2 linked regions of the Rhinolophus ferrumequinum genome follow. The protein of the gene in region 1 interacts with the protein of each later gene in a biochemical or structural test. Links are inferred from orthologs where the notes say so. Each region holds a gene or a part of one and is shown on either strand. Other genes may lie near its edges. The genes, in order: HUS1 and RHNO1.

The links.
Region 2: the proteins of HUS1 (region 1) and RHNO1 form a complex in vitro, tested with the Homo sapiens proteins (2 studies listed by BioGRID). The link is inferred for Rhinolophus ferrumequinum from reciprocal best matches to the Homo sapiens genes HUS1 and RHNO1.

Annotation. Positions count from the first base shown.
Region 1 is NC_046303.1:1,213,189-1,228,546, forward strand, and holds the start of HUS1 (checkpoint protein HUS1), read right to left. Parts: upstream 5,643-15,358; 5' UTR 5,397-5,642; coding exon 5,345-5,396; intron 4,867-5,344; coding exon 4,739-4,866; intron 4,656-4,738; coding exon 4,479-4,655; intron 4,145-4,478; coding exon 4,037-4,144; intron 3,196-4,036; coding exon 3,121-3,195; intron 309-3,120; coding exon 209-308; intron 1-208. Other genes in the region: SUN3 (SUN domain-containing protein 3), read right to left, coding at 9,783-9,902, 10,871-10,963, 14,767-14,934. UniProt on the Homo sapiens protein: Component of the 9-1-1 cell-cycle checkpoint response complex that plays a major role in DNA repair. The 9-1-1 complex is recruited to DNA lesion upon damage by the RAD17-replication factor C (RFC) clamp loader complex.
Region 2 is NC_046293.1:87,880,678-87,895,980, forward strand, and holds the start of RHNO1 (RAD9, HUS1, RAD1-interacting nuclear orphan protein 1), read right to left. Parts: upstream 8,031-15,303; 5' UTR 7,954-8,030; intron 5,380-7,953; coding exon of another isoform or gene 5,204-5,379; intron 5,038-5,203; coding exon of another isoform or gene 4,968-5,037; intron 4,334-4,967; coding exon of another isoform or gene 4,289-4,333; intron 3,621-4,288; coding exon of another isoform or gene 3,492-3,620; intron 2,622-3,491; coding exon of another isoform or gene 2,430-2,621; intron 511-2,429; coding exon of another isoform or gene 359-510; intron 1-358. Other genes in the region: FOXM1 (forkhead box protein M1), read left to right, coding at 359-510, 2,430-2,621, 3,492-3,620, 4,289-4,333, 4,968-5,037, 5,204-5,379, 8,045-9,070; TEX52 (testis-expressed protein 52), read left to right, coding at 10,650-10,718, 11,738-12,291, 15,229-15,303. UniProt on the Homo sapiens protein: Involved in microhomology-mediated end-joining (MMEJ) DNA repair by promoting recruitment of polymerase theta (POLQ) to DNA damage sites during mitosis.

The sequences.
Region 1 (15,358 bases):
CCATCCTTCCGCCTCCCAGCGGCAGGCACACTCCTTATGCCCCGGGGCTCACCTTCCCACTCCACAGGCCAGTGGCAGGTGACTAACCTCAGTCATGTCCCCTCCCCAGGCCTGAGTCACAGGCACTGAAACAACCTCTTCAGGTAAGAGACCCCCAGTCATCTGAAACAATGTATCGGGAGCAAACAGAACCCACCAGGAAACTCACCAAATGGAGGGTTGCCCAGATCTTTAAAATGAGTTGTAACACACACTAGCTCAGATTCTATTTTCAAGTTCAGGTCCCCATTTCGGTTTGCTTCAATTATCTGCAAATGGAGCATTTCAGTCTTAAAAAAGAAAAGGAAATGACCTCCAACCCCCAAAAATCACCACAGGCATTGGCTTCCACCAAACCAGGTGACAAGGTAGCCCTACCGACCCCCAGAACACTTCTGATGGCACCAAGACCCACACGGCATCAACTACAGAGAAGACGAGGCCTGAGAACCCCCGCAGGAGAGGAGCCTGGAGAACTCGGCAGAGACCCAAAACAGGCAGTGCTGGGGGCCCGGCCAGGGGACGGGAATCAGAGAGGCCTGCACAGGGTGGGCACCCTGGGTTCTGCGGAGGACGACGACGAGGGGGAGGGGCCAGGAAGCCCAGGAGAGCTGGCCACAGGGAAGGCCGCGTGCCCTACACTTTGACATGACGGAACAGAGAACCCACAGTGCTTAAGCCACAAACCCACCCGAACCACAAACCCACCCGGTCCCCCCACCTGAAAGGAATGAGTGTCCTAAGGGGATTGTGGTCAGACCCCAAACCAAGACATTCTGGAAAGAGGAATAACACTGGCCAAACAGCACTCAGGGGCCTGGGGGTGCTGCGCGAAGCAGACGCAGAGAGGGAGGGACTTTTGTTCCAGGAAGAGCTGGAAGAAACTGAGGACAGTGAAGCTACGAAAGGAGAGCACAGGTCAGAATCAGGGACGCCCCGACATGTCGTGCCCAGACCGCTTGCAGATGTACAAAGAGAGCTGCCAGGACTCAGGAAGTAACTGGAAATATAAGGGCAAATATCGGAAATGGAAAGTAAACAGGCAAGAAACCAGGAGAACGTGGGCACACAGACAGCGCAGGAAGAGAAGACGAGGCAGAAAGTCAGAAAATACAAATTACCGAACAGAAACGGAGGTAGAGGGGATCTGGACAGCAGGTGAGTGGGGAGCCCCGAGGCCGGCAGGAGGATCATGCTCACCAGACACCTCCCAGTGGAGAGGCCGCACACCCGGACTTCAGAGAAAGCAGGGAACTGCCGGGACCTAGCCACGCCCCCGCCCCACGAGGAAGTCCCAGCCACTCCCACAGGAGGCGGAGCCAGAATCCTGCCCACAGCACGTCAGGGTGAAGATGTGCGCACAAGGGCCTCACACCCTGCACACCGCGCTTGTTTCTGCTGCTCCCACCCCACTCACACAGCCCCTCCACGAGGCCACGGCTCCCATAAAGGAAGGGAGAGAGGGTGGAGCCTCAGCATGCCGCTTCAGCTCCCCTCGGGACAGGAGGTGTTTTTCATGTACTGAGTCGCACTCAGCGGCCTTATGTCCCCTGCCTGTCACCTTAAGACACAGAACCTGTCACCCGGGTAGATGTCCTCGGGCCCTTGGTTCTACTTCCCACACGTGACAACTTTCCATGTAGGAGGGCAGATGGCAGCAGGCACGCCACAACACTTTTGTTTGTTTTTAAATACTCCGGAGAAAAACACTTCTTCTGATGATTTTCTCTACCCAGGCTACTGGGCCAACTCATTGCCCTTGGACAGAAAGAACAAAACAATGGGGTCCGCAGATGAATTGACCGGCCTGGCCTTTTCTCTCCTGGGCCTCTTCGAAGCTCTCTGAGGTCCCCAGGGCATCCCGCCCTGGCAGTGGAAGCTTCCCACCTGACATCTGGGTCAACAATGGTGCACTGACGGGAGCACCCCAAGCGCAGCACAGCTCACACTGCAGCAGCGGAAGCTGACTGCAAGTTCAAATGACATCTAGGAGATTAAGCCAAGAAACACAATCACTCTTATGTGACCACCATCACAGGTATGAACGGCCCACAAACATTTCCTAGGCTTCAGAAAACCTTTGCAATTCCAAAGATCGCTTGAAGGTACATTTCATTCCAGGTCCATGCGACAACACTTATTAACCGCCCGCTGGGTGACAGTCCCACAGTGGTGGCCGGGACACAAAGATGGTTGAGATAGCGTTTCCCTTTCCGATGCTGGCAGGTCACTTAGCATAGAGCACTGAGCACAGAGTTACAGCGAATGGCGAGAGGCTAACGTGGGGGGACGTGGGAGAAAACACAGCGAGTGTGAAATGGCCGAGACAGAGCCTGGAAAGAGCCGGCAGTGTGGGGAAGGACAAGAGTCGAGGGAGGTTTTGCAGGGATGGTGTGGCCACATGACAGGGGACGAGGCCGGGCAGATGAAGATCAAAAGTGGACACTTCGTCAGGCTGATGGAGGTTTTTAGAAGATTCGGGACATAATCAAATGTTTGGGGTCAAGCAAAGGAAGAATTCAGAGAATCCCAGGGGTGACTGGGGACCATCCACACCCTTCCCCATCACTGTCACATGCTGTAGCATTTTGTGACACTGTAGTGGACCAACCGCCACATAAGCAAACAGCAAAGGAAATACATCCATGTACTTGGCAAACAGCTGATGAGGGGGCGACAGCGTGTGCTGGGGGGCTCCGAGCTGAGACCGCCACTAAGTAGACAGGACACTTCCATCACTGCCAGTGTCGGTGATTCATAAAACACATACACACAACAGACAAGCTGGGAGGTTTTGTCCAAAACACAAGTGAAGGAAGCCAGAACTGTTGGCTATGTTGTTAATAGGCTATAAATACAAGTGTGATGGACCAGGGCAAATATAAAAGCCTCCCCCGTGAGAGAGAGGAAAGCACCAGCACAGGTTTCCTGGACTCCGTGAAACCGCAGCTCTCAAGAACAGGCCGGTGAGGGCGCCCGCCGCACCGGGCCTCAGGGTACCCACAGGGCCCCCACACCTGTGGCAGGCATGCCGCCTGAACCCAATACTCCGGGCTCCTTTCCGAGGAAGTTGTAACTTACAAGGTGGTTGCTGATGTTTTTCATTCTTTCCACCACGCTCTTCATAGTCTTCAGGACTGGCAAATAAATACTAACCTACGAAAGCAATGAGAAAACTCAGGAGAATTAAAGATGTGAGTACAGTCAAGTGCTGACAGGTGCAACCTACTGCCTACGTTTGCCACGCATGCATGCTTAGCAGCTCTGGAATCTGGAGTTTTACACTGTCCTTTTAAAATATGAAACAAAAACAATTTTATTTCCCTAACTCACGCCTGCCTCTGTGGTTACCTTGGCGACCACACACCTGTGGGCACTCTGGCTCCACAGACTGCAGCCCTTCGGCCAGAGGCCTTATGTTACCCAAGGGGAATAAGACTCTGAGGGACACACCCTCAGACAGGCCTTCTTACCCCGGAAAAGGACCATGAGGAAGTCCCTGCACCAGCGCTCAGACCAGGTCACCAACAGTGCTTGATACAATGCTGGCTTTTCCCAGGTGGTGCGGATATCCTCCAGTAAAATTCCTTTTCCACGGTCTCTTCTCCAATAAATCGTATGCAAGAAGCAACAGACTTGTGGGCCTCATCTTTATTTCCCGCTGCCCAGGGATTCCTGCCAGGACTGGGGTAGCCTCTGCCCTTGGCTCTTACGCACACCCAGGCATCACTCCTTACAGGATGAGGTAAAATCACGTTCTGAGACCCAAACAGGCGCCTAAGCCATCACTCCCGACAGAAACCAGTCCCCCACAGTGCTCCCTCCGTGTAGTCTAGTTTTATTTAAGCGCCACTGCTGAGCAAGACATTGTCTCCCACCTGTGGCGTGTGGCTTTACTGCTACACGCTGCCCTGTTTTAAGATCTTTATGTAAACAGCAAAAGGCAAATACTCCATTTTTTTTCGTGGAGTATCCTTTAAAAATGAGCGTCACTCACATCACAGTCTGGGACTGTCGGTTCCTGTAAATCCTTCCACAGTTTCCTAGGAATGACCTTTATGGGGATATCGTGGGTTACAATGCGACTACTGCTCGACACAGATAACTGCCAAGAGAAGAATCACACAGTATTTTTATAACGTCAATATTAAAAAAAACCAAAACAAAAAAAGAACTAAGGGACAAAAATAAAAAAGCTAACATACCACATCTAAGTGGAATGTTCCATTCATCAAAACCTGTTCAACAGATACTCAGGGTGTGCGTGGTCTGCTCTGGGTTAGGAGCTGGGACGTGTGCTGAACAAGCAATGTCATTAAGTAGGAGGAGAAACTGAGTCCAGGGGAAAACACTCAGGTGCCAGAAAACCAGTTAACGTTCAACCGCCAGCCAGTGCAGCTCCTTCTGGGAAGTTTCAGAATCGCTCCCCTCCTACTCACCAGCTCTATGGAGACGGTGAGGCAGGGAAAGTGTTTATTAGTCAGCTTGATTTTCAAGGCTCTGGCATTCTGGGCAGTTTTCAAGGCTCGAGACAGATTCTCTGATGTCAGCTCTAAATAAATCGCATTGTTTTCTGCTGACACACCTTCCATTTGAAATTCGTTGAAGAAGTTCTCCTAAGGGAAGACAAGGAGGGACACCTGTGCCCTCTCCGACGGCACCGGGCAGCGTGTGACGCCTCGCAGGAGCCTCTGCTCACCTGTTCCAGCTCACACCACATGCTCACCCCTCCACTGGCCACCTTGTCGGAGAGGATGAAGTTCAGGTGACGCGGGCTGATGCGCAGAGTGCAGGTTTTGGCCAGCTTGGCTATCATGTTGCTGACTCCTGTAGCAGGGGGTGAAGGGAAGGAATTCCTGGCAAGCACACCACGAACCCGAGCTCAACACGGCGCCACCTCCAGGCGGACACACGGCCGTTCGTCGTGGGACCCCACCGGAAAGCAGCTTAGCACCGAGAAGTCCGGCAGCCTCCCCACACCCCGCCACTCGCGCGGCGCACGTCAGGCTGCAACGAGGCGCCGGCGCTCGCAGGGCGCATCCACGCCGGCAGCACACTGGGCCACGGGGTCTGCGCCACGTAAGGCTGCCTCCCGCGGCCCGCCGCCGGCCCACGAGGGAACGCCAGGCGCCGGCACGCGGGTTTTAGAAACAACCCGGGCACCCGCTGCCCCGCCCACAGACGCGCGTCCCGCGCGCTGCCCGCGCCCTCCTCGCCCGAGGCCCGCCGCGCGCAGCCTCCTTCCGGCGCGCCCTCCCCTCTGGGCTCCTCCCCACACCGCCCGGGCGGGCGCGGCCCCGCTCACGCGTGAAGTGGTTCAGACAGGCCGCGTCCACGATTTTGGCCCGAAACTTCATGCCGGAACGCGGGCCCGCGCGGGGGACCCGTCACCCGCGGACCCCGGTGTCGCCCTCGGCGTCCCTCCGGAAACGCCGCCGCGCGCCCAGAGGTTCCGCCCGGCTCGGCCCGGCCTCCGTGAGCCGCGTCACGCCCCCCGGCGGGGAGGCGGGCCCCGTGTGACGCTGTGGGTCACGTACGCGGGGAGGCGGGGTTCGGTAACGCCCCCGGCCGAGCAGGCGGCTGCTTTCGGCGACGCGCCAGTCCTCCCCGCCCCCAGGTAGGAGGAGTGGTTCCGGGGACTCACGTTTTGGAAGAACGTTGTGACACCTGTTGCCAATTCTGTTAAAACGTCAGAACTAAAACCAATCGCTTATTTATCAAAGGCAATTAAAATGATCGCTTAGATATCTGCCGCTCGGATGTAGGTCACTTTCGAACCCCTTCCAGGCCCAGACGCTAGTGCTGGCTCCCGCTCGCCGGGGCCCGTAGCACCACGTTGGATCACGGTTTTAAAATTGTGGTAAAAGCGGGATCATGTTTAGAGAACATTGACGTTAAGTGGTAACTGCAACTTTGTCTCCTGATGAACTTCACCAGATCCTGTGAAAGTCCTTAAAGCATAAATGATGTAATGATGTTACACGATTAAAAAAAAAAAAGGAACAAAAACTGTATCCAGCTTGGTGTTTCGGAGTTCATTATGTTTGCTTATTGTGCAAGGAAGTGCCCTCATCCCGTCCCCCAGGTGGCAGCACGGTGGCAGTGAAGCACAGCCGACGGCAGGCGGGGTGTGCAGTGGGAAGCCGGGGAGCCCGTCCTCACCGCCGCAGGCGCTGCGCGCTCCACCCAGGTAAGGACTGTGCGCCTTCCCGGGCGGCCCGAAGCGTCTGCCCAGCGTGTGCCCCGTGCTTGTTCGTCCTCCCCATCCCTCGGGGGCCCATTTGCAGTCCTGTTGTGAGCACTTAATGTTGAAAAAGTTGCTCACTGGGAAGACACTGGCATAGCTCAGAGGTTCAGGTTGGATTTGTCTTCTTTTTCTTTTACGTGAGAAAACTGTGAAATGACGGACAGCACACTGTGCGGCACGAGTGAATGAATGTCTTTTGAGAAATGCGCTCCATGAAGGGATGGGTTTTGCTTAAGCGGCTCTTCAAAGACTCTTCTCGTGTTTTAGACGTTAAAGGAAAACTACTTCAATAAATGTCATAAATATCCTTTAAATTAACATTTGTGGCGCCCATGAGAAGTGTCAGGCACTGGGCACTGGATGCTGGGCCCTGGGGCTCTGAGAAAGGACGTACCCACCACCTGGGAGGGAAACCCACGTTTTTGGCCGCCCACCGTGTTTCACTTCCAAGGCACTGTTGAATGGTACCCATCCATAGGGTGGGGTCAATCACTACCCTTTTTATAGCACTTGACACTGATTGGTGTCACCTTGGTAACAAGCACCCATAGGTGAGTGCTATTCGCCATTTTAAAGATGGCGGATAGAACTGAAATGTTGGCCTTGCTGCGCGCGCGCCCCACACGCCCCGGGTGAGAATCTGCCTCTCGGCCTTGTGAGTGCACAGTGAGGGGAGAGGGCCTGGAAGTGGGGTTAAGAACCGACCGTGATGAAGCCTCCATAAAGATCCCAAAAGTAGGGGGTTCAGAAGCTTCTGGGTTGGTGAACACGTTTGTGTGCCAGGAGGGTAGGGGGCCCCCTCTTCACGGGGAAGGAAGAGCCTCTGCATTGGCCTGCCTGGACCTGGCCGTATGTATCTCTTCACCTGGCTGCTCATCTCTATCCTTTGTCATACCCTTTGTTACATAGCAAAATGGTAAATTTAAATGTTTTCCTGAATTCTGTGAGCTGTTCTAGCAAATAATTGAATCTATGGCAGGGTAATCATGGAAAGCCAAGTTGGACAGAAGTTGTGGGTAACCTGGGGATCTACTATTTGGCATCTGAAATAGAGAGCGGTCTCGTGGGACTGAGCCCGACGCTCTTGAGCTCACTCCGGTTGTGTCAGAATTGTAGGATGCCCGGCTGGTACCACTGAATTGCCTGGTGTGAGAAAGAAAAAACAAACACAAAAACCCCACACAATCTGGTGTCAGAATTGTTGTGAGTGTGTTTGTTGTGTGAGAGTAAAGGAGAAACACAAGTGAGTTTTTCCTCTACAACCATTACGTAAGAAAACGAGAGACCATGTTTTATGCTAAACATTTTTTAATTAAAAAATGGTATAGGTAAGGAATAGGTAATATTTTCACGTGATTTGAAAACAAAACATTATACAGTAGACCATTTTGCTTCCACCTATGTGGGTGTCTCTTCTGCCCCATTCCCATTTTATTTACTCTCTCCTCCTGGTGAACATTGCTGATTAACGTGTTATATATGTATGTTGCACGTGACTCCTTGAGTCAAAAGGTATGTGCCTTCCTAATTCTGAGAGACATTGCCAGGTTCCCTCCACAATGGTTTTCTCTGTTTGCATTTTCACCATCAATGTGTGAGAGAGTCTATTTCCTCAAAGCCTTACCAATGAAATGTTATCAAACTTTTCTTAATTTCATTGGTGAAACATGGTACCTACCGTGTAACTTTTGACATTTTTCTTAAAATAAATAAGCTCGAATACCTTTTCATATGTTCCTAAGAAAAATCTCTTTGTGCTGTCCAGCCGTTTTTCTATGCAGCTATTGATAGTATTGCTTTCTCGAGACTCTTTACATATGGAAAAGATTGGTCCTCATGATATCAATGACAAATATATTTTTCTGTTTTGTTTAAGGTTTTGTTGGCCATGTAGAGGTTTTTTCAATTTTATGTAAGTGTGAGTCTTGTTTAGAAAAGGTCTTCCTCTATCCAATGCCATACAAGACTTAGCCCAAGTTTTCTTGGTTTATTTTTATGGTTTCATTACCTACCTATAAATAATCACCATATTGGAAATTCGTCATGTTGCAAAGTGAGAAATAATAGGTGCAATTTTCTTTTCTTAATGACAGAGTAATTGTCCCAAACCATTCCTTTTTCCTGTCTGCTTTTAAGATGCCACCGTTATCGTATTCTAAATTCCTACATAGATATAAATCTATTTCTGATATATCAGAAACAGACTTGTTTTGTCTGTTCCATTGGTTTATCAATGTTCTAGCACCACACAATTTTAATTATTGTTTTAATCAACATCATACAGTTCTTTGTCTTTTTTTTTTCATCCAGAGGTTTCCTGGCTTCCTACTAAGTTTATATTTCCAAATGAACTTTAGAATCAATTTGGCTTAAAACACAACACTTCTAGTTACTTATATATGTTTTAATCTTTTTAAAACTTTCTAAAATTGAAAATATCAAACATATGTAAATGAATGCAGAATAGTAGACATGAAGCCCCGTGGACCAGCACACAACTTCGATGATCATTGCATGGCCAGTCTTCTCTATGGATCCTCCCATACATTTCCTCCTCTTATTATTTTGAAACATATCTCAGATATATCATTTCATCTGTAAATATTTAAATATATAAATCTAAACAAGAATAATTCTTTTTTAGTAACAACATCGAAATACTATTATCACACAGGCACTGAAATATCCTTAATTTCCCATAATTGTCTCAGAAATACCTTTTTTCTGGGTGTTAATTGAGATTAAAGTGAATTTATAGATTAATTTAGTGAACACTGACATCTTGATAGCTGAGTTTTCGTATCCACAGGAAAGGTGTGTCTTTCCATCATTGAAGTCTTCTTATCATCCACTGCTGTTTGGAGTGTTTTCAAACAGGTAGTTTAATTGTTTCGTTTATCTGATTCGTTTTCATCTTTGTTGTGGCTTTTGTAAATTATATCCTCCAACTGGTTGTTTGTATTTATACATAATGTTGATTTATATGTGGTAATTTTCTTTCCACTAACTTACTGCAGTTTTTCCTGTGTGTGGTGTATTTTTTGATTGACTTTATTGCATTTGAAGGAATTCATCAGATCATCTGCAAATAGTCATGGTCAGACATCCTCACTCCTTTTAAACTCTGATTTCTTTCACTTATCTAACCAAATTGACCAGTGTGTCCAGATATGTGTTAAGTAACAGTGGTAACAGGCCATCCACGCCTGGTGTGGATGAACAAATTAAGGAAGGCAGAGGTGTTCCTATGAGAAAGACTGTTGAGTAATACCACCTTCGAGACAGATTTACTTGTCAGGGCTCCAGCGACATTCATCCCCAAAGCAAAGCTACCAGAAGGAGACTGAATCACTTTTACACTTTTACTAGTAAAATTCATCCACTTTGAGGTTTCCCTCCCACTGCCGATTTCCACCCCTCTGAGTGTAGTGAAGCGAAGGGGCAGGGACACTTGGCTGTCCTAACCCCCTGGCCGTCACCTTCTGCACCAGCTCTTCTAGGTGTGGTCTCCCGGGGTGCCGTGCACCCTGAATCTATATAAACAAGTGTACTTCGTGTGTCCCCAGTTGCTGAGGATTTTAAGTTTCACACATAATAAGGATTCAGAAACTTCATGCTGAAAATAAAGAAAAAATAAAATTAATGCCTTATCAAGAAATCCATCTCAAAGAATCCCGAGGAAGGCTGACGTAATGGGAAATTCAAACTCTTTCCTTCCTCCCTTCCTAACACAAGGGTATCCAAACATCACTCTAGTGGACGAGAAAATGAGCCACCGTAAGTAAAGAGCTCCTAAGAAGACAAGTTCCGGGGAAGGAAGAGCGTATGGCAGCCTGGACACCAGGTGCTCTCACTTCCTCTCAGATGCCCCCACAGTGCTCCTACATGGCCGTCCCATGAGGGAGTGAGTGACACGGCCGTACAGTCACATAGGAAACTCCTCAGGCACATTCAGTTCTAACACATTGTTTTCAGCCTAGATTTTCTCACCATGGGCCAAGTAGTGTCATCAAACACTTGCTTTTACATGATATGAGACGCCTTCTGTATTTCTTCATTACTTCCTGTGGCTAATGAGAGACAGTGAAGATATATTTCATGCACCTTAATGACTTTCGGGGGCCTTGTATGCTAACAGTTGGTGCTTTTTCCCCTTTGAGTTAAGGAGAGAAGTTTTGCCTGTATCGTCTGGTGTTAAGTATTTGTTTTCTCTTCCCCTGACTTCCTCTCTGCCTCTAACCATCTCATACTGCACCACCGCCCTCATAAGAAAGTTGAGACAGTGACTGTCTAACCTAACAGTGCAAGGGAACCAGACTGGTAAGAGAAGGACTGAGAAGGTGAATACAGTTTTTAAAAAGTGATAGCAAACGAGGAAGAATTAGGCTTAGAAGCCACTTCGGTATTTGCCTGTCTTTTGCATTAAAATGCACATAAGCACTGGGAGCTCAGAACTGAAGCTCAGAAAAGCCTCGTTTAGCTTATGCTCCTGTCACGGTTATTCTCACACACCACTTCCGGCACGCAACCCCAACACACCCCTCCCAGGAGCGGAGCCCGCATCCCCTAGCCAGGGCTCATTACCTGGAGCTCAAAGGTTTGAACCGTGGTTCCTGTTTTGTTATATAAAAACTGACCTAGGAAAACCTCTTCTCCTCCACATTGTTTCAAGCTGCCCTATAAAAAAAAGTAACAGACATGTAGATCATCAGGAACGGATGCTCGGTTAACATAAATGGAGGCAGATGTGTATGCAAGGAGCAACAGTTCTCCAGACGTCTTTGGGGTCCGCCACGGGCGCAGTGCTGGCCCAGGTGCCAGTGCTGCCCTATATACCCCAAAGGTGTTGAACTTTGCAGTTTGCAAGGCAAGAGGCAGGCTGATCACAGGGCTCACTAGACAGGTAGGAAGAAGGTAGTTAGATAGATACATAGACAGATAAATACCTGAAATGTAGATGAAGGGTGCTCGGAGGGTGGCGGGGTGGGTGGGTGGATGGAGATAGATAGATAGATAGAACAAACCTCAGGCCTACTAACTGTATCTGCAGTCAGAAGACTTTGAATAAACTAAAACAAAAGTCCCTATGTTGACCCAGTGTTTTCCAAAATAAGATAAACTTAATCCAATTTCCAGACTGATCATACAAATAGCTCTATCCAAAAAGTATTTGCTGACTGAAAGAAAATATTGATATTTGTATGTAGTTTCATTTATTTATTTATTTATTTTACCTTCCTTCTCTACCTTTCAAAACCAAGGTTTTTGAGAGGAAAATACACTGGTGGGAATTAACTTATTTGTGACTATCTAAAGTTTATCTTTAGGTTCCTTAAATCATAGTAGCACAACAAAATAAAGAGTTCATTAATTAAATTGTTTTATAATGAACATATTGATATTTAAACTATTTGTAACATAGTTTTATTAAAAGAATACATCATGATTAAACAACGCACCCGCGATTACAGATATAAAAAACCCAAGCCTCATGTGGTTCCTTTAGTAGGGTAAGGAGGAGTGCTCATTTTATCTCCACCTTCTTTATTACCCTGTTTTAACTTTACTTGGTTCATAAATTTGCTAATATAAGAGAAAAACAATGAGAAGTAGTTTTGATTACTGAAGGATTCACCCATAATTCCTCGGTAATGAGCAACTGTGTGCACCTGTCTGAGGTGGGGTATGACCTGCTCAGATTCAGCCCAACTCAACTGTCGGGCTCAGCAGACAACTATCGTGGGTGGCAGCAGGCTTGCACCAAAGGATGGTGGTCATCTTTCTGTTCTGCAGCCCAGAGTCACGGCCTTCAGAGGCATTTGATGAAACACAGGCAAGCCGCCACGTTTAACTCTGAGCCCTCCCTCAGACAGGATACCAGGAGACTGAAGGCAAGACTAAACCTACAAGGAAGGCATGGGAGCAGACACCAGACACAAAGCCTGGACATGGCCAAAGGGCCAGTGGGGTAGTGCCCTGGAGAAAACACAGACTTCCCTGGCTGTGGAAACACGCTGACACGGATGTACACTGCAAGTCCCAGAAAGCTCCACAGGCGGGACATGGGGCTGTAGGGGCCCCAGCAGACAGGGAGCTGAAGCAGTTAGCCCCCAGCCCCTGACCGGTAATCATCCCGGCCTGGCCCAGCACTAACTGCCTTCATCCTCCCAGTTCTGGGACAGCTGGGCTCAGGAGACCTGCACATGTCAGAGGTGAGGGCATAGCCTGTGTGCTGAGGGCATACCATGCTCCTCTTCTCTCAGCAGCCCCAGCATGTGGTCGCCAAGCTGAAACCTGGGCACAGCTTGTAGAATTCCTCCCAGGGTCAACCTGCCCAATCCCACACTCTGGAGTCTCCAGAAAAAATGGCCCAACTAGACCACTGCCTGTGAAGACCTCGGTCCACCCACCCCACCAGGTGTGCAAAGCTTTCACTGGCTTTTTACTGTTTAGCTCTTAAACATGACACACAAACATCACCAGACATGTGAGAAAAGCACATAACGAGAAGGGCAGAGACCCCGTCAACAGGGGAGGGAGCAGAAAAAAACGAAACAAAACTATAATATCTCTGGAGACTTAAGAGAAAACATTGCATCCACAGAAGAAGAAATTTAGACTTTAAAAGACTATTGGGCCGGCCCGGTGGCTCAGGTGGTTGTAGCTCCGTGCTCCTAACTCCAAAGACTGCTGGTTCGATTCCCACATGGGCCAGTGGGTTCTCAACCACTAGGCTGCCGGTTCGATTCCTTGACTTCCCCAAGGGATGGTGGGCAGCGCCCGCTGCAACTAACAACGGCAACTGGACCTGGAGCTGAACGTCACCCTCCACAACTAAGATTGAAAGGACAATAACTTGACTTGGGAAAAGTCCTGGAAGTACACACTGTAACCCCAATAAAGTCCTGTTCCCCTTCCCCAATAAAATATTTAAAAAAAAAGACTATTTATAGGAAAAAGTCTTAGAAGAATCGTGACAGCAGAAATGAAAAATCCAACATAGAAGTTAAAAGAAATTCATAATATCTTTCAGAAGATAGGACAGAAAAGGAAAATAAGAGAGGAGATTTTTTAAATAACAGATTAAACAATCAGTAATCAGTTGAACCTTTGGGGTGTGGAAATGAAACCCCTGAGAGCAGCTGTACATAACTGGCAACAAGTCAGATTGGAGCAAACGGGCAGACAATCCAGAGGCTGTCCCAAAAGAAACATGAAAAAAGAAGTTTATAAGTTATCTGACATAAGTGGGAAGATGTTTACACTTCTGAAGAAGACATTAGGAGGAGGCCATTACTATCCTCAGGAACATCTAAAATTGTACACGAAGCAAATACCATTGGAGTACACTGTAGGGCTCAACTGAGGGCAGACTATTCCCCACAGTCACAGTGAACACAGAAATGCCGATTGAAACCAACAGTAAGATATACCATCTAGCCATGCCCCAAACATGAAACCCATTTTCCATGTGATCTAGCCCTTCTATTCCTGAGTGTAGACCCAGAGAAATGAAAATCAATGTCCACACAGAAACTTGTGCACAAATGTTCACAGCAGTGTTGTTCACAACGGCCAAAAACGTGGAAAAAACTCAAAGGTCCATCAACTGATGTACGGATAAATAAAATGTGGTCCATCCATACAATGGACTATTAGTCAGCAATTTTCAAAGAGAACATACTTATGTTCTAACATAGATGAACCTTGAAAACATTATGCTAAGTGAAGAAGCCCTTCACAAAAGGCCATGTGTGATTCCATTTATATGAAGTGTCCAGAATAGGCCCATGTGGAGAGACCAAGTAGTCAGTGGCTGCCTGAGGCCGGGGGCGTGAGCTGGACGGTGGGCAGCGGCAGCTAAGAGGGATAAAAATGTCCTAAAACCGACTATGGGATGAATACACAGCTCTGCGAATATACTAAAAGCCACTTACGTATCCATGTAAATGGATGAATTGCATGGTGTCTGAATTATATCGCAATAAAAAAGTAAAACACAACATATTGGTAAGATGAGAGCGCCACGGAAGGGAACTAATCTTCATTTTCCACCCGAGAATGTCAGTAGATGATAACCAAAACTGAAAAGTTAAGAATTAGGAAAAGCAAATATGCAGGGAAGAACCCAAATAAATAGCCAAAACTTTTGCAAGTGGAAGCTTCCGGGGAGAAAAAATTGGGGGGGTGGGAGTAGTAGGACAAGGAAAAACCGTGTTTCATTCTAAACGTATGGACATGTTTAGAGTTTTTAATTGTACATGTCTGACTTCGATTAAAAAAAGTAAAGTTAAGTAGTAGAAATCATCAGGTTCAACCCTGTCAATTTGTAGATGACAAAGCAGAGTCCAAGGGATAAGTGACCTCACTGTGGTATAGATGGATAGTTGCACAGTTCAGATTAGACCCCCGCTCCTAATCCCTAGCCAACCACTTTGTATCGTAACCCACTCCGAGCAAAGACTGATACAGCTTCTCACATAGACAGAGAAGTCCTTGGGTGCACTGGAGATGTTTCCTGAGGGCGACACCTTCTCTGAGATGTGCTCCATGGTAACTGCAGTTGGTATGATCTTCCTGGCAAGCTTGATTAGGGCATGCCCCTGGGAACCTGGAAAGGCCCAGCACTTCCCAGGGTGAACATCCGGCTACAAAGAAAACACAAGAGTTAATCTCTTACCTGGTTGTATAAATCCACCCCTACGGACCACAGAGCTCCCTTCTGCATATCAAACAGGAAAACTTCCAGACACCCAGAGGGTTGATTGTTCTTCCGGTGCCCATTATGCTTCTATTTATTTGAGCCCTTTATTATATGAGTATCTTTCATTGCTCTGACTGGACTAGGAGCTGCTAGATGACAGCTGGTTGGTATGGGTGGTGATGGCATGCTGGTGGTACTGATGGTGAAGAAGTTAGTGATGGTGGTGATCATTGTAGTGATGATGATGGAGGTGAGGATGGTGGTGGTAATGTTGGTGATGGCACAGGTGGTGGTGGTGGTGGTGGTGATGGTGGTGGTGATGGTGTGCAGATGGTAATGGTAGTGGAGGTGGTGGTGGAGGCGATGTT
Region 2 (15,303 bases), on another chromosome or scaffold:
TCTGTTTGTCTTCCCATTGACTGTATAAAGAAGTAGGAATCTTTCTCCATCTTAATAAAGGAGGAAACTGAAGCATGAGAAGGAAAAGTTATTTTCTCTATGCAGATACTCAGTAACTCCTTTATAAGGTTGCTTTGACCAACCTTTAGGCTCAGTGTGGCTTAGAGGGAAATGCGACTTGAACTATGCCCCTGAATTTCTCCTGAAATCCATGACGGGGCCACAATAGATTCGGCCTATGTTCCCAATCCCTAAGGGTAGAGGTCTTAGAGAGGTGATCCCTAAGCCCCACCTTTGATGGGCCTGCCAGGCATCAGATCAGGCAGCTAAGTGACATCCTCAATTGTTTCCCTTCCAGCTGGTGGTGAGGCAGCAGGCTGCACTCTTGACAACAGCTTGACCAACATTCAGTGGCTTGGAAAGATGAGTTCTGATGGACTGGGCTCCTGCAGCATCAAGCAAGAGAAGGAGGGAAAGGAGAATCGCCACCTGGAGGCGAGTCAGGTTAAGGTGAGCTGTCCTGTCGTTTACTAGGGAAACCAGAGCCTGTACAGAGAGGTTCTAAGAGGGGAAATGGAGCAAGTGGCCTGTGCTGCAGAATTTCCAGGTTCTGTTGTTAGCACTTCACTTAGTGCGATTCTGTATAACTTTTGAGCTACCTTTCTGCCAGGGGTCTTTCTCCCCCATCTGCAGAGAAATTTCCTTGCGGGCAGATTCCTCTGGCTCACTGTGCTCCATCAGCACTGAGTTTAGTAAGTATTAAAAACTCAGTAAGTAGTTTTTACTGAGTAAGTATTCAGGAAATGATGAAGAGATCTTAGTTTGGAAAGCTACTTAAATTTTGAAGGGCATCCCAATGGTATGAAAGGAATACAGCATTTTTAACCATGTAGTTTTCTTAAAAGATACATTAATAGCAAATAAAGTGAGTTAGATGTGAATTTTAAATTCTTCCCCAGCAATCATAATTGATTTGACCCGATTGTGTAGCCTGGGGTTGATTTTCACAATAGCCACACACCTAGCTTCTGTTGTATATACCATATTTTGCCGTGCGCAATGCGCACTTTTTTGCCCAAATTTGTGAGGGAAGTATAAGGGTGCGCATTATACATGGGAAGTACTAATTCTAATCTATATAAATGTTTTTAATTCTTTTATTGATGCTTATGAGTTAAAAGTGTAACTCTAGAAGTCAATAATGATATCCGTATGCAAAATAATATCCTGGAATACGATAATTGATTTTGTTGAACTTACGACAAACTTGCAATGAAAGTAATTTCAGCCAACAATTCAATGAAATGAGACAAAGAGCGACGTCTTGTTGTCCACAGAGTAAGTGACTGTGACTTGATAAGACAGGTGATGCCGACTCTGTTACCACAGGGTGAACAGGGCGACATTTCTCTTCGTGCACTTTAGGCGGGAGCTGGCAATCTAGCCGATATTTTTTACAAAAATCCCTTGGAAAATTAAAACGAAAGATTTTTTTCCCCTGAAAGTTTGGGCCAAAAGCATGGGTGCACATTATACACGGAAGCACATTATACACGGCGAAATATGGTATCCTTTATTATTATTTTTAATTAATTAATTTATTTATTTATTTTTATTTTATTTTTTAAAGAAAAATATGGTATCCTTTAATCATTCATTCCACAACCTTTAAAAGTGAAAATTTACATGGGTGTGTACCAAAGTGAAAATTGAGTTGTTCATTTAAAACTTGTGTACTTTATAAAGTTATTTATATAAATATATAATACAATAAATTTATATTTATATAAATATACGTTAAATATATAAATTTAGAAATATGTATATAAATGTAATAAAGCTCAATATTTTAAAATGTGAATGATCAGCTCCTTGCGTAAGACTTAGCCAAATGTGTGCTTTGCAGACATTTGTCTGTCCTGTACTCTTGGAGATGTTTCTCTCACACAAACATTGAAAGGAGATGAATTTATTCACATCACATCAGGAGTAGGAATCGGACTAAGACCTAGGTCTCTTGACCCCCAGGTCTGAAAAGTGGGTGTGCTTTTAGTGTAAAATCAATGCACTATGAATCATAATATATACCCAAACTTTCCTGAGAGGTTTTCAACTAGCAATCACTGGAGTTCTACTTATTATTGGTCAGTATCTTTCACAAAATGAATAAAGACAGAGAAGTGGTTCTACATTGTCTGGGGACCGAACTGGATCATCTCTCAGATCCTGCCTAATCCTAAACTTTTATTCTATGGAACAGACAAACTTTTATTCTATGGAACAAACTCAGATGAGTTTGTTTCCAGTGTGATTTTATGGGACACAAGGCTTCTCTAGGGAATGTCCTTCGAGTGGGGGTGGAGGAGGTCTTGTGAATGCTTCCATGTCGTTCCCTTTTCTCTCTCCCTCTGGCTTCTTACAAACCCCAGGTTGAGGAGCCCCCGGGAGCATCGCCATCCTGGCAGGACTCTGTGTCTGAGCGGCCCCCGTACTCTTACATGGCCATGATACAATTCGCCATCAACAGCACCGAGAGGAAGCGCATGACCTTGAAAGACATCTACACTTGGATCGAGGACCACTTCCCTTATTTTAAGCACATGGCCAAGCCAGGCTGGAAGGTACTGTGTCCCATAACAACCAAAGTCAAGGCCACTCTGGCCTGACAGTGTGTCTACACAGATGTGCAGCAGTTTGTGTCTGGTGTCCTGAGAGAGAGTTAAGTGCAAATGATGCTGGAACTATAAACAATTATATCTTTTGGATTGTGACTTGATCCTGCTGAATCCAGGCAAAACCATTGATAAGAGCTAGGCAACCACGTGTGTCACTACCTAAGGTTTATGGGGACTTTTCAGTGTAGCACTAAGTTCACTTTTGCTGCACTGAACAGCAGCTGGAGTCACTAAGGCCTTATGAAAAGACCTTTTTAAAAAATGCTGTCTGTGAGCCTCGTGATTTACCTCCTCTGATGTCACATATTATCTCTAGAAAGCAGGGATTCTCTCTTGATTTTGTTCACGGGACACAGATGCCTGGAAGTCATTGCAACTCACACAACAATGTCAGCGCCACAGTTCAGGTCCCCTGACAGATGCTCAACTCCAAGCCAAAGGTTTTTTGTTTGGTTCTTCCCACAGTAGAACTTTTAACTTCACCCTCTCACCTCAACTACATTTCCTAGTTTCTTAATGTTGTTACTGGCCTATCTTGCTATTGACTATTGCTTCACAGTCTCACTCCTCTTTCTCAGTTGGTGTTTCCCTAACACCAACCTAAGGAATGTCCTCAGCCTTAATCCCTGGATAGACGGGTTTATGGCTGAGGTGGGTGACTGTGGCGTGAGGGTCAGGGAGCGAGGTGGACACTCCACTAAGCCTGTGCTGGGTACAGTGAGTGAGGCCTGAGGCTGATTTCCCTACAGGAAACAGCAAAGGTGATGTTTCTGAAGCTAAAGCACCTCCTCATCGGTTGTCTTTCTCTTCTTTCAGAATTCCATTCGACACAACCTTTCTCTGCATGACATGTTTGTTCGAGAGACATCTGCCAATGGCAAGGTCTCCTTTTGGACCATTCACCCCAGTGCCAATCGCTACCTGACTTTGGACCAGGTGTTTAAGGTGAGTGTCCTGGCTTCGTCTGAGTGGGGCCAGAGTTGGAGGTGGTCATATCCATCTCAAAAAGGAAACAAGTTGACTTGTGATGCGCTTAACTGATCAGCGCAGAGTTAGACACCAGCCAGCCCCATAGGTGATTTGCATGTAACTCACAGGATTAAGTACAGTTGACAAATATCAAATAACACACTTTGGTGCTAAACCAGGCCATGGAGAGGATTGCTCTGATCCAAATAGAGGACATCGCGAGGCAGTGTTTCCCTAACTGCTGTGTGGATGTGAAGAACTGCCTGGGATACTTATTAAAATACAGCTTCCCGGGCTCCTGTCTGGGGGCTTCTGATTCAGTGGGTCTGGGATGGGCCCAGAAATATGTATTTTTAACAAGCACCTCAGGTGATTCTTACAGACAAAGTCTGAGAAAACTTGTTTTAAAAAAGCACTTTAGGCTGGAGACCAGAAACCGAGCTAGCATTCAGAAGCAATTGTGTTGGGATTTCAGAGTGCCCATACTCTCCTAGCTGTCACCATTCTCCTGGGAGGGACAGTTGTCCAGGGTGGCCCTCGGCGCCAGTCAGAAATAGGTGTTTTTCCCAATGTGGTCGGCCTGGTTGACCGTGCTGGTGGTAACTTCATCTCATTTCTCTCCCACAATGCCTGACCGCCACCAGCCACTGGACCCAGGGTCTCCACAATCGCCCGAGCACTTGGAATCAGTAAGATTCTTTCCCTCTGGCTCGGGGCTTGGCCTTGTTTTCCTTTCACTGCTCAGCATGGCTTTAGTGGACAGGGACAAGACACTAAGCAGGGGAAGGGAGCCTGTGGCTGGGTGACTGCCAGCCCTGCACTCAGGGCACCCCGAGCTTCTGGGAGTGAGGCACTGTGTGACTACCACCTCGTCTCCCCAGAAGGAGGGCTTGTGCCCACTGCTCCTGCCCCTCACATCACGAAGGCACACTGAGCAGAGCGTGCGTGGCAGGAGGACATGGCACGGGCGTGGTGCGTGTGGCACAGCAACCACAATGCATGGTGGGCCTGGCAGGTGGCAGTGTTTCCTCTGGCTTTCCTTTGCCACAGGAAAGGAAAGCTCCATGCTTTAGCATCCCCTGGGGTGGTGAGGACACATGGATGAGGTGCTGGGACCATCTGCCACCGTGCGTCTGTGTGCTGTCCACCTTTGCCACTATCTAGGCTTTGGTGGCAGTGCTCGCCTGCAACCTCCCAGAGCAGCTTCCATTTCTGGGCTGCCGGTTAGCTCAGTGCACGGTGCCAGAGCAGCCAGTGGGTGCCCCCACCGTCTCCCCGCCTGATTAACTCAGGTTTCTTTCTCTCCCTGTCTGCCACACGCAGCAGCAGAAGCGGCCCAATCCTGAGCTCCGCCGGAACGTGACCATCCGAGCCGACCTCCCCCTGGGCGCACGTTAGTATGGGAGAGTGGACTTCCGGCCTGAGCCTTGCTCTGGGAGCACGGCCGGAAGGGATCGGACTCCGGATGCTGTGCCCAGCTCAGAGGGATCTGATCCCAGAGGGGATGAGAAGGGGTGTGCCCTGGACCTCTGCCCCTCACTGCCCCTATTTCCTCCCAGGGCGGAAGATGAAGCCGCTGCTGCCCCGCGTCAGTTCGTACCTGGTGCCCATCCAGTTCCCGGTGAACCAGCCGCTGGTGCTACAGCCCTCGGTGAAGGTGCCACTGCCCCTGGCAGCTTCCCTCATGAGCTCAGAGCTTGCCCGCCATAGCAAGCGAGTCCGCATTGCCCCTAAGGTGAGTGGCTTCTGATTTCCTCGGAGGAGTAAAAGTGTTGGACCTACACCTGCAACGTACTCTGCTGAATGTTCCTTGAGAAGCTTATACGTCTAGTTGGGCAGACAAGGCACACATACAAAGGAAAACTTAATTATAAAGGCTAAAAAGGAATTTGGATTACAATGTAATGGTACCAGAAGGCCCATAAATACCTGATGAGTTTATAAGAATTCAGACAAGGTGATGATGACAGACGGGCTGGGAGGGTTAAGGAAGAGTTTGCAAGGGAAGTAGGTCTCAGAAAGGAGTAGATTTAGGTAAGCACCCAGGTGTGGAGAGAGCATGGAGGCAGGAGATGCCGGCTTGTGCCCAGTGACGGTGGAGGGCCTGGGTCAGTCTGGCTCCGCGTTTCTCAGCCTCGGCACTGTTGACATTTAGAGCTGGATAAATGTTTGCTGGGGGTGAAGGGCGGCTGCCCTGTGCACGGGAGGATGTTTAATGACATCCCTTGTCTCCTCCCACGAGAGACCAGGAGCACTCCCACCCCGACCTGTGTGACAATCAGAATGCCCCAGACGTGGCCACAGGTCTCCTGGGGGCGGAATCACTCCTCAATGGAGCATCCCTGGTCTAGTTTGAGGGAAAGTGAGGAGATTAAGCCATACTGCGATGGACTACCAAGTCTGAACTTCACCCTCTCGAGAAGGTTTTGAGAGCGGGAGCTGACCTGGAGCAAAGTAGGGAAAAGGGCTCCTGCCCCCTCATGAGATGGACATAGCATGGGCTCTGGAGTTTAGAGAGACTTGGGTTTGCTTTTGTTTTATTTAAAAGATACTTTTAAAATATATATAAAATTATACATATCACTATATGTAATTTTACATATGTGTGTTAATGTGATGGTAGCATGTGTATGGTTTTTGTTTTAATGCAGTCTTTTTCCTCCTCCTTTTTGTCTCCCCGCCATTTCCCCTTCACCCGCACCACCCTCGCTCTCCAAGCTAACCCGTGTTGACAATTTAGAATGCTTTCTTCCATACTTTATCCATGCTCTTAGTATAACAGACATATATAGCCATAGTCATTCTATATATACACACACAACACAGAACATTGAAAATGGGATCATATTACACACTCTGCTTCATGGAAATTCTTCCAAACCACTTGGCATAGCTCTAATTCATTTTTTTTTTCAATTTTTTCCCCCTTTTCTTCTTTTATTGGGGAATATCGGGGAACTGTGTGCCTCTCCAGGGCTCTTCAGCCCCAAGCCAAGTCGCCGTTCTTTCCATCTAGTTGTGGAGGGCGCAGCCGAGCCCCAAGCCCAGTCGCTGTCTTCAATCCTCGTTGCAGGGGGCGCAGCCCACCATCCCATGCAGGAATCGAACCGGCAACCCTGCTGCTGAGAGCTCGTGCTCTAACCAACTGAGCCATCCGGCCGCCCTAATTCATTGTCTTTTAATGGCCACATAATATTCCATGGTGTGGCTATGCCATAATTTTTCCAGCCATTCCACTTTTATGGGCACATTTTGTTTCTAGTTCTTTTGCCTTATGAACAACATTGCAATAAATATCTTTGCAAGTATCTTTCTTACTAATGCTTTCATGTCTCTGGGATAGAGTCGCAGATATGAGATTGCTCAGTGAAGAGGTATTCTAAATTTTACCTAATATTGCTAGATTGCTTTTCCAAAAAAATCTGTGATAATTCACATTTCCACCAGCAGGATATGACAAGACCGGTGTCTTTCTTTGCCAGCAATTGGTGTTATTAATCTTTTTAATATTTGCCTGTCTAATGTGCATAAATGATGTCTCCATGAACTATTTGCTTAGCAGGAAATGGGAGCCCCTCCTCATTATATTTCGTCACTTGGGAGTGTTCACTGTGAATTGTTTATTTATGGACTTTGCCCATTTTTCTACAGGGTTTCGTTAATTGTGGGAGTTCTTTGTTGTTAAAATATTAACCTTGTCTTTTATGTTGAAGATTTTTTTTACTTCTACTGTTTGTTTCTGAACTTTGTTTATGGTATCTCTTGCCACAATAAGATATTAAATTTTTATATGGTCAACTATGTATTTCCTCTCGTTTACAGCTTCTGGGTTTCCAGTCTTGGTTAAGAAGGGTCACCCCTACCCTCAGATTGTACATGTAGTCTCCTAGGTTCTCTTTCAGGATTTGTATGGTTTTAATTTTTCTGTTGTCTTTGTAGATGGTATAAAATAGATATCTAATTTTATTTTATCTCAGATAGATAATGATTATGTCAGCACCCTTGTGGTTGAGAGCCCGCGCTCTAACCAACTGAGCTCAGTGGCAGCCCAGCTCAAGGTGCCGTGTTCAATCTTAGTTGCAGGGGGCGCTGCCCACCATCCCTTGCTGGACTCGAGGAGTTGAACCGGCAACCTTGTGGCTGAGAGCCCACTGGCCCATGTGGGAATCGAACCGGCAGCCTTCGGAGTTAGGAGCACGGAGCTCTAACCACCTGAGCCACCAGGCCGGCCCATCATATATTCTTGTATTTTATACTTTTTAAGATTTTAAAAAGACAAAAAGAGGATCAGTAGCAGCATGTCACTTACTTTAGTCATGATCTTGTGTCCCGCCTGGTGACTGGGTTGAGTCTCGAGGTTTCGACAGCCCCTTTCCACCTTATCCCTGCTTGCCTTTCAGGTGCTGCTGGCTGATGAGGGGGTAGCCCCTCTGCCCACTGCAGGACCAGTGAAAGAGGAGAAACTCCTGCTTGGAGAAGGGCTGTGCCCTCTGCTTCCAGTTCAGTCCATCAAGGAGGAAGACATCCAGCCTGGGGAGGAAATGCCACACTTAGGGCGGCCCATCAAGGTCGAGAGCCCACCCCTGGAAGAGTGGCCCTCGCCATGCCCGTCTGTCAAAGAGGAGCTGTCTCAGTCCTGGGAGGACTCGTCCCACTCTCCCACTCCAAGGCCCAAGAAGTCCTACAGTGGGCTCAAGTCCCCAGCCCGGTGTGTCTCGGAAATGCTCGTGATTAAACGAAGGGAGCGGAGGGAAAGGAGCCGGTCTCGAAGGAAACAGCACCTCCAGCCTCCCTGTGTGGATGAGCCCGAGCTGGTCTTCTCAGAGGGCCCCGGGACTTCGCGCCGAGCCCCAGAGCTCGCTCTCCCCTCAGAGTCCTCTGCGCCTGTCTCCCAGCTTGGCTACTCCCAGGGGGAGGAAGGACCTTTTAAGACACCCATTAAGGAGACGTTGCCCATCTCCTCCACCCCAAGCAAATCTGTCCTCCCCTTGACCCCTGAATCCTGGAGGCTCACACCCCCAGCCAAAATCGGGGGGCTAGATTTCAGCCCAGTACGAACCCCCCAGGGTCCCTTTGGTCCCTTGCATGACTCCCTGGGGCTGACAGATCTCAGTACCACCCCACTGAAAAATATCCCCCTTTTTGATTCACCTCAAGAGCTCCTCAATTCCGAGCCTTTTGACCTCCCCTCTGACCCCTTTAGGAGCTGTTCCCCCTCAGATATGGAGGTCCCCAAGCCAGGCTCCCCTGAGCCACAGGTTGCCAGCCTTTCAGCCAACCGTTCCCTCACAGAAGGTCTGGTTCTGGACACAATGAATGACAGCCTCAGCAAGATCCTGCTGGACATCAGCTTCCCTGGCCTAGAGGAGGACCTGTTGGGCCCTGACAGCGCCAGCTGGGCTCAGCTCATCCCTGAGCTGCGGTAGAGATCTGTCCACTCCCGGGCACTTGTGGGGCTGGGCCTGGGCCGTGCAAGGCCTCTGTGTAAGGACAGCAGGCAGGGCCTGTCCGCTCCTCGAGCCCCACCTTGCCCGGTTATGCCAAGGCAGACGTCACGCCATAGCTGCCACAGGGCCCTCTGCAAGCAGCAAGGCCCTGGTGCCTGGTTTCTGCTGCCCTGTGCTTCCCGCGAGGACCTGATTCCTCCCTATCCCTGCTACAGCTGGACGGTGGGCGTAGCAAAGACAAAGGGGAAACAAGATTAGGAATTCCTCAAACTGTGTGTTCTGTGCCCAGCAGTCCCTTACCTTCCCTGTTCCTTGCAGGGGGGCCCTTGTAAATAGTGTATATTCTCCAAAATTATCCTCTAATTATAAATGTAAGCTTATTTCCTTAGATCATTATCTAGAGACTGCCAGGTGGGTAGGATGACAGCGGTGTCAGTTGGCTTCTGTTCCTTGCTTTTAGTTCCTAGAGAAGGGGGGGACCTGCGGTGCACGGTTTCTTCCAGGCCCGAGGTACCTGCCTCAAGGGTTCTTTACTGTAGGCCCCCAGACAGGTGGATCTGCTTGCCAGGGTCCCTCTTATTGCCCCTCCCACCACCTCATGTTTCCAAGTCAGCTTTCCCACAAGAAGTCCTTGTTATGAGGTCTCTTGTAATAGGTCAAGTTGAATTGGGGGTAGGGGGTGGATGCATCTAAAGCAAAGAGTGGGTGCCCAGATGTGCACCCATGAGATGTTTCTCTGATAATGTCCCTAATCATGCCAGGGAGACTAGCATTGATGAGAACGTGGCCCAAGGTGTGAGAAGGCGGAAAGGGCCCTGACCTGCCTGGCTTCCTTAGCTTGCACTGCAGCTTTGCAAAGAGCTACCCTCGGCCCCAGCTGACCACGTGCCTGGGAGCCAGCTCGAGAACACTACTGTAACCACTACTCAATAAAACCCAGGCTGCAAATGCTGCTCTCTGTGGTGTGTCTGTCTGGCCCCCACGGCATAAGGAGGGGTTGGAAAAGAAAGTGGGTGGTGATAAAGACGGTGGGAATGGAGGAGGCAAGGCCTGAAGCCAACGTGGAGAAGCACCTGAAGGAGAGTGCAAAGGACCTGAGCGTGGATCACCTGTGTCACACCCTGCGCAGGCACACACAGCCTTTCGAACGGGAGCTGGCAGCTTTCCCAGTGCTGGTCCTGCTCAGCCAGTCCCCAGGAAGGGAAAGGCCTACACAGGGGCAGACCTCGGACCGTTAGGGAAGGAAGGAAGGGCCCCCTTCAGGTGCCTCATGACCACCTCCACCCCCTACCCAAGGCCTGGAAGCCAGCCTGCCCTGCTTTCCTTCCCAGGCCAGTCTCCAGAAGCAGCTCCCGTTACCATCTTTTGCAGTCAGAACTTCAGAGTCCCATCTCTTGCCCGTGTCACCTGAAGCAGCCAGGTCCCCAGGGAGTAATGAGCCCTCCTCCCTGTGTCACCACTCAGGAAGCATCACCATAGCAACCCCAGCAGCAAACAATGCTGCCTGTAAGATCTTCCCTACAGAGCTGCCCCTCCCAGCAATCAGGCTCAGAAGAAAATGGCCTGTCACCCACGAAGATCACCCAGAGGGCGGAATACATCCCATGTCAGAGAACCTTTCCGGCAGGTAGGGGCCCAGGCCCCATCCCTGGGGTGGGCCAGGCTTTCTCCAGGGCAGCAGATCTCTAGGCCCATGACCTCTGCTGTCTTCTCTTAGTCCCATAATACTGTGAACATGGAGCTCAGAACAGAGGAGAGGAGATGCCTGGTTATTACATCTGGGGTGGTCACAGAAGTGACAGGGACCTGGCCCACGAAACAGGGGACTTGTGGAATTAGAAAAGTCCTAGGAGTGTACTGGAGGAAGAGGCATCTTTGAAGAAGATGGGTAGTGCAGACAGACAGACGGCCTAGGTCCCAGCTCTGCCACTCACTCCCCTGGCACTTTGGATGAGTTATTTACCCTCATTGTATCTTGCTCTTTGCATCTTTGAGAAGGGGACCATGACAGCACCTGCTCATAGGGCTGTGAGGGTTAAACAAGGTGTGGATGAGTATTTGGCATATTTGCTACCGTTTATTTCATAGGGGTGGGGCCCAGAAAGGGGAGGGACCAACATTTTAAATGCTTTCTATACTTGCTGGTATTTTAATGAGAAGTGAGGGCAACACAGCAATGACAGAGAAATGAGTCACAGGAGGAGTCTAGGATAGAAAAGCACCCAGCCCCCAAGCTCTGTAGAAAGACTTCCCTTCTACACTTGGCTTGGTAAGGCATGTTTTTCCTCAGGATTTCCTCAGGCCTGATGTGTCCTGTTAGGAGCACCCATTCCTGGGCGGGAGTGTGGGCACTTCCTGGGCAGCACAATGGAGAGGATGGGTGAAAGGAAGGAGCGAAGAGGGGAAATTCAAGTTGAGGAAAGAGGGTAGGAAATCAAAGCCCAAACCGGAGAGATGGAAAGAGAACAGGTGAGAAGTCCATGAAGTTCCTGCAGGTAGGGGGAGAATAATACAGAGCAGACATGGTTCCATGCCAGTGTCCTGATGGGAACCCTGTGTCTGGAGGAGACTGGCAGCTTCTTTCCTCTGCGGCTGCTCCTGGAAGAAGAGGCAGAGTGCCGGCAAGCTCCCTTTGTCTCTCCCTAGATGGTCGAGGCCGGTGAGGCCCTACTGGCCTCCCACACGTGGCCTCAGCGTGAGTTCTTCCTCCCGGATGAGCCCTGGGAATGGCCTGGCTTCACCCGGCAAGCCTACCACCAGCTGGCCCTGAAGCTGCCACCCTGCACAGACATGAAGTCCAAGGTACACCACCGACTAATCCACCCGTGGAAGGATACAACGGAGCACACGTGGGGCTTCCACACGTGGCTCGACGTGGGGCGCTTGCCGGCTACCTTCCCCGCCAGGCCCGACAGGCCCTATGACAGTAATGTCTGGCGCAGGCTGACCAACTCCAGGGCTCACTGCCGCCCCCCAACGGAGCCCCCCATTCCCCCTCCCTCCTGGATGGGTCAAAACAGCTTTCTGACCTTCATCTGCAGTAATCCTCCTATCTTCTTGGATGCGAATAGGAAGAGCCAGGTGATGTTCAGGACAGCGAAGGAACTAAGAGAGATGGAGAAACTCAAACTGAGGAGTGAAGCAAGGGCACCTCCACTTGATGCCAATGGCAACATCCTGCCCCCAAAGAACTTCAAGAAGTAAGAGGCACTCCTTCCTCAGGGAGCTCACCCGCCAACCCACATTCAGGTGACCCCTCCCTCTCTCTGCTTCCTGTTGCTGATATCTCACTTGGTACTCTAACTTTCCCACCTCTGGTCATCAAAAACTAAACTCTGTTCTGAATGTAGCTGGAGGGAAGGGATGGAGGCAAGGGAAGGACAGCCAGGAGAGGGGTTCAATTTTTTAACTAAAATTATGGGGATGCGACCATGTACTTAACACCTGCTAGGCTCTGGGGAGACCGAGAAATGCCATGCAGTCCCCGCCCTCAAGGAGCTTACGAAAGGCAGGAACCTACTTATATACATGCGAGGAAAGAAATCTATCAATACAAGCGCACACGTGCTAAGTGCCCAAAGTGTGAGACAGAGGATGGGTCTTGTAATGATGTCCATTATTAATGGAAAAACCTGAAAGCTGGAGTTGGAGGCTAGAATTAAAGTCTAGACTGTGTTCCTTTGGCAAATTGCTTAGCTTTTCCAGACTCAGTTCCATCGTTGATTGTTAATAATTCCATTATCAACAAAATAGGCATGGTAAATACTATGCCTACCTCAGTGGTGAAGATAAAGTTGGTTAATGAATATACGAAAGCTCTAAACAAAAAATAGACATTATTACAGAAATTCAGATGAGGGAGGGAAGAAGGGGTTGCTGTGGGCTGGCACATCCTCCCAGGAAGGCTTCATGAGGAATTGGATGAAGGCTGGAAGGGTAGGAAGCCTTCGGAAAGGCAGAAAGGAGGGGCTGCCTGGTGTGAGCAGAGAGGAATGTGAAAGTTGCTATTTGAGAACCCCACAGCTCTCCCCACCTTGCCCATCGTGGGAACTCACAGATATTGCCATACTGGGTCCTGTCCAGTACGAGTGGCCGGAAAGGAAGAGAGGAATAAGGAATGGAATGTCTCAAATTCCAATCCCAAGGGCATTAACAGAAGCAGTGAGAGGTTGGAGGGGGAGGCGTGGAGATCTGTAATCTTAAAAAAGCAATGCCAATACTTGGTAATTTTGAGAGAAGATTTTTCAGGCCCTTCACTTCCCTCTACTGTCCCTACAATGAAGACTATTTTTTTATTTTTTATTTTTGTATATTTATTTATTTATTTATTTATATTTATTTATTTTTGCATGAAGATTATTGATGGCTAATATGGGCCAACACTAGGCACACAAAGGTGAAGACTTAGAACACTCCTCAAAAAAACTTAGTGAAATGAGAGTGCCAGATGTTGTTCTAATCACTTTAACTATATTATTTAATCCTCCCATTCCCTCGGAATAGAAACTATTATGATCAACCCCATGTTGCAGATGGGGCATCTGAAGCACAGAGAGCTCGACTATCTTGTTCACGTTCACACAGCCTGTGAACGGCAGGGCTAGGATTTGAACCCAGGGAGCTCAGCTCCCGAGCTGCATTCCTACCCACTCTGCTCCACTCCACTCTTGTCTGATTGGGGAATCAGACAAGTTCACAGACACGTCTAGTAGAACAGAATGGTCAGTAAAGGCAGTATAGGAAGATACAATTAGTCATAAAAGGAGCTCAGCACAGTGCCTGGCGTACAGTAATGATGTGTGACGTCAGGAGCAGCGTGGCCTCTGGGGGCAAGCAGGTCCAGGTGGCACTCTACCTAGCTCCATCACAAACCCGCTATACAACCTGAAGTTTCGCAAACTCTTCGAGTCTCACTTTCCTCAAGTATGTATTGGAGCCAGTCCATGCAGGGTTTTTAGAAGAGTCCTAGGGACGGGACCTGGTATACAGAAGGGGCTCTGTAAATCGTGTCATCATTAGTACAGCGTCTCCATGAGAGAAGGAGCCTGGTTTTGCTTATTGCTGCTGTAGGCCTAGCCCCTGGAGCCAGGAATGAAGGCCTGAGTCTCAGACAGGGTTTTGCTATTCACAGAGGAGGAGGTAGTTGAGCTGGCCCTTCAAGGCTGTGTACAAGTTCAGCAGGTGGGAACAAGAAAGAGTGGTGAGAGCAAAGGCCCACCCAGCTCTGTCATTCCTCTTGAGCCGCGCTGCCAGAGGTTATCGTTAATTGTTAAAATGGCTCTAGATCCATGAGAGAGCACATTCTGAGCATGAGAGACCCAGAGAACTTCAGACAAGGTCTAAGCCTCCAGATGCTCGTGATCTGGCTGGGAAATAGAACTTTTACATATAAACCCAGCCGTTCTCAGGTCTGGCGGTACATTGGAGTCACCTGGGCTTCTGGAGGAGCATGCTGAGGTTTGAGCCCCACCTGGGAGATTCTAACTTACCTGACCTGGGGTGGGGGGAGGGGTGGCCTGGGCACTAGTGTTTTTAAAAAGCTGCTGAGGGTGGTTCTTTCGTGCAGCCCGGCCTGAGAAGCTCTGATATAAACCAAAGACAGCAAACGGGGATACCTGTTGAACCAGGGGCAAAGCACGTTGAGCAACAGGAAATTTGCCACTATTCAAATATGGCTTTTAAAATGTCCACTTCCCACTGTTGAACTTAATATGACAGGCCTGTAGAAGACGAAGCCAGTAAACCAGGTGTCGGGAGGCAGCAGGTCAGAGCGGGAAGGGCTCTTGGATGGCGTCACATTCACCAGTGATGAGAAGGAGACTTGCGCTGAGTTCGCGCTCCTGGAGGGATAGTTAGAATCTGGATAATGATGTGACCTATAAATATGTCAAAAGGCTGGAAGATTGACCAGATAAACACAAGTATTCGAGCCTAATGCCAAACACGCACACACAGGGTGCAGGCCATTTGGAACAGAGTCATATGCAATTAGGAAAAGAGACGAAGGGATCCCACACGCGCTATCTCTCACTAGCCTGTGGGAGGCAGCAGCCTGACACTTTCCCATCTCAGCCCCTTCCACCATGCCTGATCTCTCCTTTGACCTCTGTTCTCTCCACACCTCCTCCCCCCAACAGGTACCGACACATCTCAGCTGGTGGGAGGTTTGAACCCCTCGGCCTCCAGCTCCTGCCCAACCCACTTCCCGATGA